2 linked regions of the Danio rerio genome follow. The protein of the gene in region 1 interacts with the protein of each later gene in a pairwise test. Links are inferred from orthologs where the notes say so. Each region holds a gene or a part of one and is shown on either strand. Other genes may lie near its edges.

The links. The genes of interacting proteins can lie anywhere in the genome.
Region 2: the proteins of sorbs3 (region 1) and socs7 interact in binary tests that used the Homo sapiens proteins (3 or more experiments, as listed by UniProt). The link is inferred for Danio rerio from reciprocal best matches to the Homo sapiens genes SORBS3 and SOCS7.

The regions. Positions count from the first base shown.
Region 1 is NC_133183.1:45,280,440-45,285,520, forward strand, and holds the start of sorbs3 (vinexin), read right to left. Parts: upstream 3,034-5,081; 5' UTR 2,760-3,033; intron 1-2,759. UniProt on the Homo sapiens protein: Vinexin alpha isoform promotes up-regulation of actin stress fiber formation. Vinexin beta isoform plays a role in cell spreading and enhances the activation of JNK/SAPK in response to EGF stimulation by using its third SH3 domain.
Region 2 is NC_133186.1:12,501,766-12,506,138, forward strand, and holds part of socs7 (suppressor of cytokine signaling 7), read right to left. Parts: intron 1,903-4,373; coding exon 1,771-1,902; intron 1-1,770. UniProt on the Homo sapiens protein: Substrate-recognition component of a cullin-5-RING E3 ubiquitin-protein ligase complex (ECS complex, also named CRL5 complex), which mediates the ubiquitination and subsequent proteasomal degradation of target proteins, such as DAB1 and IRS1.

The DNA.
Region 1 (5,081 bases):
AGTGTATACAAACAAAAATATCTATATAATTATATTCAGCTTTGTTTTCAATAATATAAATTACCAAAACAAACATTAGTTTTCCCAACTGCAACAACACTAACCAAAAGTGTAATTTTACACTGTTCCACTTTTTTTTTTATTAAAATGTCTCTTCTACTCACCAAGGTTGCATTTCTTTGAATGAAATTTTAATATTTTCTTATATATTTTATATTTATTTTTCAAAATGGTAGTGTCCTCTGTGTTTTGGGGTGTTTACAAGGTTGTGATTAGCATTTGAATGGTAGGAAGTCTTTAAAGCAAATGAGGACAGACTGGAAAGTCTATACTTTACTTTTGTTTCATAAAGATAAAAAAACACTTGTTTTCAAACAGAGCTGCATAATTTAAAAGTAGCATTTTCAAGTTATATGCCGATATTTTTCTCATGATTGTGAGGTCAGTTTTCACTAAGATTCAGCTCTTTTTCTACCATGTTTTTCAGTGATGTCAACAGAAGACATTCTGTCATCATCAGAAAGCATTCACTGTTTCTTCAATTTATAGAAAAGCACTGTTTTGTAGTAATTATGTATATTCATAATAATAAAAAAACCTTTTACAGATTTGAAAACTTTATCTGTTTTCATCACCAATTGAAAAAAATGCAGCCCAACATGAAGGGTTGTTATTTTTTTTACTTTTATATAGCGCTTTTCTGGACACTCAAATTGCTTTACACATTTTTGGGGTCAAATCTTCAGTCCCTGAGGGTTGGTGTCCTGGAGAATTTAGCTTTACCTGAACCACCTAATTAGTGTCTTACTAAATATAGTAGAAACTTCCTGGCAGGTATGTTGAAGTAAGTTGGAGCTAAACTCCAGAACCAAGTTTGGACACCCCTGACATAGAGAGTCAAGACCTCAGTTAAACGTCTTATCCGAAAGGCGCTCACTGAGCAGTTAAGTGTCCCTATCAATATATATATTTTTCATTTATATAGCACTTTTCTACACAATCAAATCGCTTTACATATTTTTTGTGGGAAATCTTCTCATCCACCACCAATGTGCAGCATCCACCTGGATGATGCGCCAGCAGTCATTTTGAGACCACACATCACACACCAGCTGATTGGTGGAGAGGAGACAAGTGATGTAGCCAATTGTTCTATGGGGATGGTTAGGAGGCCAAGATGGACAGAAACCATTGTGCAAATTTAACCAGGATGCCTTGGTAAAACCCCTACTCTTTTTCATGGGATCATGGGATTTTTAACGACCACATAGAGCAGGGGTGTCTAAACTCAGTCCCTGAGGGCCGGTGTCCTGGAGAATTTAGCTCTACCTGAACCACCTAATCAGGCTCTTACTATATATAGTAAAAACTTCCTGGCAGGTGTGTTGCAGTAAGTTGGAGCTAAACTCCAGAACCAAGTTTGGACACCCCTGACATACAGAGTCAAGACCTCAGTTTAACGTCTCATCCAAAAGGTGCTCACTGAGCAGTATAGTGTCCAAATCAATATACTGGAGCGTTAGGACCCACACAGAGCATAGGTTGAGCCCCCTGCTGGTCTCACTAATACCACTTCCAGCAGCAGCCTAGTTTTCCCTTGTGGTCTCCCATCCAGTTACTGATCAGACGCAGCCCTGCCTACTGTCGCTTCAGTAAGTGACCATGAGGGAGTTACAGAGAACTAGTTTGGATAAGTCTAAAGGGGCTTTATTCTGCAAAATATTTTGCTGCATATACTTTATTTCAGTTATCACATGGCTTCTTGCCAAAATACTAATAAGCACAAAGCACTGTTCTGAGCTGTAATAGTTAATTAAATCTTTAAATAAACACAAAGCTGACAGAAGCAAAAACGGCTAATTGAAGCTGAATGGAGCATATACACACCAGCACATTATTCAGTCACAAGATGGCCCCAAATTTTCAAAAAACAAAGCTGGTCAGTTTTATTCTGTGGTTGTAATTTTGGAATAACTTACTTTGCAATGTCACAACTGACCAATCAGAATAATGTATTTCAGACAAATCTTTATTATGTAACACTCTTACAAAGAGAGTAATCAAATCCACCTACACACTATACATACAAATTTAGACTGTATTTATACAAGATTTTTAATAATTGTAATATTTATGGTTTACATAATTTTAACGATTACACATCCCAAATCAATAATTAAATGCTTGTTTAGGTTAATGATTATTTTTATGTTAAAACATTTCATCATAATACAAATTAGAATAAAAGTGCAAAATAATTCATAGTTTGTTTTTTTTTCTATCCTGTGGATCTTAATTCATTAAAAAACACCTAATTATTTCAAGGTCATAGTACAACTATTTTAATAAAATAAACACAATTACACCACTCTTAACAGGCAAATTTATAACAGGCAAACCAACAAACCAAGCTGTCTCAATAAAATCTAAAATATCAAATCTTGAAACCACATTACAGAAAAATCCCCGTTCACCCAGAAGAATACAGATTTTGGATTTGGATTTATACTATTTCCCACTGCTTTGAAATTAAAATCCCACCAAAGACCTTTAATCCTTTCAAAGAGAGTTAAGAATCAACTTCAGCAGTAATGTGTGACTAACACAACATTTAGCACAAACCTGCCTTGCCACAGCTGGACCAAAAAAAAAAAACTGAATTAATTAATAAGTTGGTTTATGTGCACAAACAGTATTTTACATTAGGAAACTTACAGTAACAAGATTATGGTTGTTAGATGGAAGACATGTGAACTCACCAGTTTGTGTGGGTGTGTTCTGACAGTACTGCCACAAACAGATTTCCCAGGACACACACAATTCTCAAAGTGCTGTTTGGTCTGCTTCGTAGAAATTAACCTTTCAAGTTGTACTCTTTCTGTTCTCTTTTTTTTTCTCTGTCTCGGTCTGCTTTAACAGTCAGTTCTCTCTCTCCCTTCCCCACTGGATTTTGCACCCGTCTGCTTAACCTCTGTTAAGTCCCTCTCACATACTGACACACACATGCACTCTCCCTCTCCCACTCACTCCACCTCCACAGGACTTCCTGGTTGACAAGGGTTACTGTGGTAACCTACAGACAATGTGCAGAGGCCTGGCTCACTTTTGGCTGCTTTCACTGAAGAGAGTTTGAATAGCCAGTCAGTCTTTTGTGGCCATAAGGTAATATTTCACAGCATGGGTTTCAAGTATGCTGAATTCAAAGACAAAATAACATGAGGCTCCTGACTTGAGTTTTTGGTTTTACCAATTTTTTATCTATTCACCCCATCTCTGGGTCTGGCAGGAACACTTTTAGCTCGGTTTAGCTTAAAATAGATCTCTGAATAGAATCAGACCATTAGCTTCTCAATCAAAAATGACAAGCGTTTCCTATTTTCCATAAGTTTCCCTATTTAAAGCTTGACTCTTTTGTAGTTACATCATACACTATGACCAAAAATTAAAATGAAAAGTTGCTGTTTTCCAGGCTAGGAACTATACTCTAAATCCAGAGCAAAATTCAAGGAACTTTGCTTTCATATCATGGCTACAGTAGGCACAATAATAATCCCCAGCACTAAGCCCTATACTTGCACCACCAGTTAAAACCTGCTCTTCTCCTCCATTACCTGTCTGTTCAGTCACATTCATTTTCAGTGTATTCGGTTGAAATAGAAATGATTCAGGATCTGCACCAAAGTAATATGCTCTGAAATGTCTCTCACAAAAAGTTGCAAGGTATGATCCCTGTGCCAGCAGGTGGTCACATTATACTCAGAGGTGCACATAATTGGTATGTGGAACAGATTGAGTGCAATAGAAGATTTGATTTAATTATTTGGAATTGATTCACGGGACATAGTAGATAGCTTATGCAACTTTGCCATGCTTTTGGTTTGAAAGAAGAAGTGTGGTTTCCCCACCCACCTAATTGATTGACAGCTGCGCATTAACATGTCTCTGTAGTAACGCGTACACTGTAACACCGAATAAATTAACTCAACAAACAGATTGAAACAAACCATTTTAGTTCTAAAACTAATCCTATTGAGTACTTTAAACTTAATTTATTTGAGTTTTTGAGTTCAATTTGAGAAAAGTAAAACCCAATAAATGATGAAAACTCAAACCAACTGAGAGCTGTAAAACCTAATAAGTTAAGGTAACTCAAACCGTTTGAGGAAACCGATCTCTGCACAACGAATCTGTGTGAGTACTGTTAACTTACTCCATTTAAGTTGAAGTAATGAGGTACGTAATTAACTCATTGCCTTCAACACTGAATTCAAAACTTTCAAATATCTCAAATAAGTAGAATTAACTTTCAGTAAGTTTTGAGTTAACTACACTCATTTCATTTGATATTTGACTGTTGGGTTTTATATCAACAAGACAGGGTGTGCTCAAAGCAACTGGGACTGTTACTGCTCGCTGTAATTATCAATCATTATCAAGTCATTATCAAGTGATCAAGAATGAGTTTTACAAGTTTAAAACTTTTCAAAACTGCATGTTTGTAATGAATTAGAGTGATTCTTCCGTCTCTATCACCACTGCTGCATATCAATAAATTTCTAAAGTAAATCCTAATTTGTGGACATTAAATCAGGTTTATTTTGTACAAATAATATATCAGATATCTATTCAGCGTTGTATATTGTACATTAGCGTGTATCCTGTCACAGTTGCCGTGCAAAAAGTGCAAAGTTACAGTAACTTTTTTTCACTGTGTGTGTGTGTGAACTTTATAAAGACATTGTGTATGACTCATCATTGCAGAAAGGCTTAAATTAACTTAGCAACAAATACAGAAAATAATCATTGAGTGCACAGGCAACAAAAAAACCCCACAGAGCAGAGCAGAAAACTCCAATATTCTGAATGGTATATTAAAAAATCTGATGGGTGTTTTGGGCTGAAACTTTACAGACCCATTTTGGAGACACAAAAGACTTATCTTAAATCTTGAAAAAGGGGTAAAATAGGTGCCTTTTAACACGTGGCTGCATAAACAAAAAAGTAGTTCCAGGCAGATCTTGACCCTATTACAGTTCCAAATCAATATGGAACATAATTTCAATAATTTCAAAGTCCCCAAC
Region 2 (4,373 bases), on another chromosome or scaffold:
TGTGAAATCCTGATTGCAATAGAGAAATACTGTAGACTGTAACACTAAGAAGATATCTCTGTAGATGGATGGCATTTCATGTCATGTTCAGCCTTATAATCTTAAAGAGATCACTTTAGACATAGTCAAACACTAGCTCTAAAGTACTGGCTTCTGCTGTTCTGACATCAGCTGCAGATGTGAATGAATGGCGGAAGAAAGTAGTTCCTAATAAAAAAGGGTTTGTAGACTCTCTTTGTTTGATTTTATTATTTATATGCACAATTGTGCCATTGAACTGTTGTATAAACGTAATATCACACAAGATATGGCTGTATATCAGCACTGCACTGCTACTTGTGTGACATTGCTCATATATATATAGTTTGTCTAAAATGATGTACACAAACTATATAGTATACTATACTAGCGCAGTCGTCCCTCCATATTAAAAAGCAACATTTTGTGTCTGCCGATTTGTTTACTTCCCGCACGTTAATTCCTACCAATTGAAAAGTAGTTCAGGAAATATGTTTAATAACATCTGGCCAATGAGTGATGTGCATTTTGGTTCTTTTCAACTGGTTTGGTCCAAAGCAATTAGTGTGGTGTTAAAAGGACCCAAAAGCGACAGAAAAATGCTACAATGTATAATTTGTTGCACTTGGTCTGGACTAAATGGACCAAACCACAGATGTGAGATCAGTCTTTGATTTCTCTAGAGTGTGTGAAGTTTCAGCTCCAAATACCAAATAAATAATGTTTTATACCTCTTTGCCATTTTTTAGGATTTGATGCTAAGTGTGCCATTTTGGTGACTGTTGCTTTAAATTTAAATTAGATTGTGCTTTTTCAAAAGAGGACGGAGCTACAAATGCCTATGTGTCAGCATAGTGGCAGATTCAAAAATAAGACTAATGTCCTATGCTAATTAGGGAGAGATTGTCACTAATGGGCGGGGGTTTCCCCCTGTAATGACACATACAAATGGAGTGTTTCCGCAGAATGTTTTTATCATGTGCGATTATAAAAAATGTAATTAATACATTTTTATCTTTAGAAGCTTATATTTAGGCTGTTGCCAGAAAATGGTGTTTAAACCCTTTATAGAAGTGATTTTTGCACAATAGGTTCCCTTTCAAATATATTTTGAAGTATTACAGTGCATCACAGCTCCTGCATTCACACCAGACAGTAGATATCTGTTTGCGGTATAAACCGCCATGAAACAGACAATCAGAGCAGAGCTCATCGACATTCTTGATCCATCCAAATGGTAAAAACAGACCATTTAATTTTAGTGACAACTCCTAGGGTTTTAAATGGACATGTAAATGAATTTCTGCACTTACTAAAGCCACATACCTTCTATTTAGTTATCAGTGATTTTATCAATGCATTCTATGGTACCTTTAAGCAATAGAACTAAAACACAGCTTAAGGCACCCTCTCAGTCACACTTCCTCTTTTTACAGACACGCAGCCTCCTTCCTCCACACTCTGAAAATAACTGAGAAACGAAACCATGCGGTCAAACCAAAGCCTTTGTTAAGCAAAGTGATACATGCTCTAGGTGCCATGTATTGTCTTTGCCTTTTGCTTTCTCAAGAATATAACAATTACATGAGCACTTTATTCCATTTCCCTTTGCGTTTCACGGAATAAAGAAGCTTCTGAGGGCAGAAAGAGAGACGGTTCACAGAAAGGGAAGGGGAGGTTGGAGTTCTGCTCTCAGAACCGGAAAAGATGCCCAAAAACACCCCGAGCCCCTCCACGGCACCCAAGTCTTACCATTGAGGCTGAGACTATGCTGGATGGTGGCGTGGAGAGGGGGAGGAGGAGGAAGAGGCAGAGGGAGAGACTGCAGGGATGCCCCCATTACGCTCACTAGGAAAGGCCCAGGCTGCGGCCCACCTATATCGTCTGGAAAGAGAGCAGGAGGGAGGGTTCAGAGCCAGGATGAGAAGGAGGAGATGGTACAAAATAAAAGCAATGGAAGTGTAGACAGAAGAGAAGGTTAAGGTCAGGTGCCACGAATGATGAAGAGGAATCTGAATATGACCGAATGCAACCCTAGTGTGACAACAAATAGGACGACAACAACATTTATTACTGCATACGAGCAATTCCAGGCAAATATCAACAGTTTCCACCAAAATAATGAAGGTTGTCAATGTTTTCAAATTATTTAAATTGATTTACCAAAGTAATATTTGCTGTTTGTTCAAACTCCTTATTTAAATTGAGCCAAAACAATACTATTCTTGAGGTTTATTTGGATGGGCAACTTAATTGTTTGGTGCTCAATCCACCTATATTAAAAAAAAAAAAAAAAAAAAACGATTAAGGTAACTTAATTCCTTCATATTGCCCTAACATAAATACATTGTGTGAAACCCAGCATTTTTTACAGTGTATTAGGGTTGCGCCTTATTGGAAAAAAAAATTGACATTGTTATATTTTGTTTCTCAACACTATGCATTGCAATATGTAATATATTTCACCAGATGGATTGAAGAACTCTTTTTGAGAAGAATTCCCTATTTCAGAATATTTTGGGTGATTTGTATAGGGGATTGCTGCTGCATACATTTTTAAAATGATCTTTAAACTAGCTTTCTAAGAGGGAGGGGGTGCTTTATATTTGTCTGGTAAGTCCTAATGCCAGCACAAATATTTACAAATCTAATGTAAAATGAGACTTGGCAGTCCTTCACTATAAAAATGTAATTATTGATCTTTTGTATGACAATACAAATAAAATATTGAGAGGTAAACAGTAATGTAACGTCCATTGTTAATCCCATTCCCCAACCTCTCATTCATTAACTCAATTAACAAAACAACAATAAATAAATATATAAATACCAAATTAAGTACATTAAAATACATAAGAACATGAAATCAGAGAATAACTGGATACAGATGGGAAAAAATAATAATAATTAAAATAATAATATTAATAATAATAAATAAAAACTAAAATAAAAATGGTAAATGGTTGCCAGCACCAGGTGTAATAGGCCGGCCTTTGATGTAGTCAAGAAAGGAATCCCTAGTCTTATAGACCATTTCCATGTGTCATGTCATTGACCCATGATCATTTCCTGCTTGTTATCTAACTATTTCATAACTGTAACTGTTACGATTGACCGGGTGGATGGAGGTAAAGAAGTGTCATAGAAGCCGCTGGTGAAAGTGAAGAGTGATTTATTTATACAAAGTGAAAACAAAAATCCAGCAAAAAAAAGGTGAAAGTGGCAAAATAACAATAAAGAAAAATAAACTATTCAATATTTACAATGTTTGTACAGGCTTGTTCAGCTAAATCAAGTAAATGACCTGAACAAAATCTGCTACCAATACTGACACAAACACAACCTTCTCCTACAACTAATCACACCAAGTAAATGTTTGGGGCCATTTTATTGTATTGGCCCCGCCCATGGGTTAAACCATTTTACTGGTAGTGGGTTACCATGTAGACAAAAAAATACATAAAAAGACATTCAACAGAAATATAAATTAATGCAAGTAAATGAATATGCATACAAAACTCAAAATACAACACAACAAATAACCAATACAAATTTAAACAACAAAACTTTGATTTTTATTTACTGACCAGGGGTTGTGACCCTGATGATGTTATGGAAAATGGCTGCTCCAAAGTGAAGGCGGGAAAAATCTGTATAAATGGCTTTGTTATAAAGTTAAAGAGGTTTGTAGCTGAGAAAAGGAAACTGGTAAGTATATGTAAACTCTCTATGTTTGGTTAATAAATGAAGTTTGAAAGAAAATGTGTCTGTGGTTATTTCAGTGTTGATATGGGCTATTGTTCGACATAAGTGAAATTTTTACATAAACACAATGCTAATCTTGACAGAAAAACAACATATACATATTACACAAACACACATGCACAATACAAATAAAACAAAGGCCCATGTTTAAAAGTGTGTATTTTATGTATGAGTGCAATGTGATGTGTGTTTGTTTGTCACAGTGTCTTAGTTTTACACTGTGACAGTAACAATAGGCAATTCAATCATAACTTAATGTTAAAACGGCTATCATAGCATTATTTATCAATTTGTGGCTCTTTTTGGATTCTCGAAAGCTAAAGAAATAAAAAAATGTAAAACAGGAAATACGTTGGGGCCATTGTTTTTGTTTACATCCTTCAAAATGGTCTATAAAAGAAATCTAGTGAGCCAGAGGGTGAGCATCTCAACTTTTCAAGTCTGATACAGTAAAAAATGTTCTGCATCCACTTGTCATGTGTAGGGGGGAAGTGTGTTTCTACTTTAGAAATAGGGTACGCCTGGCTAAAATTGTGGTAAAGGCAACAACCTTGCTGTCACGGACTGTCAAATCAGGTCCAAGGGATACT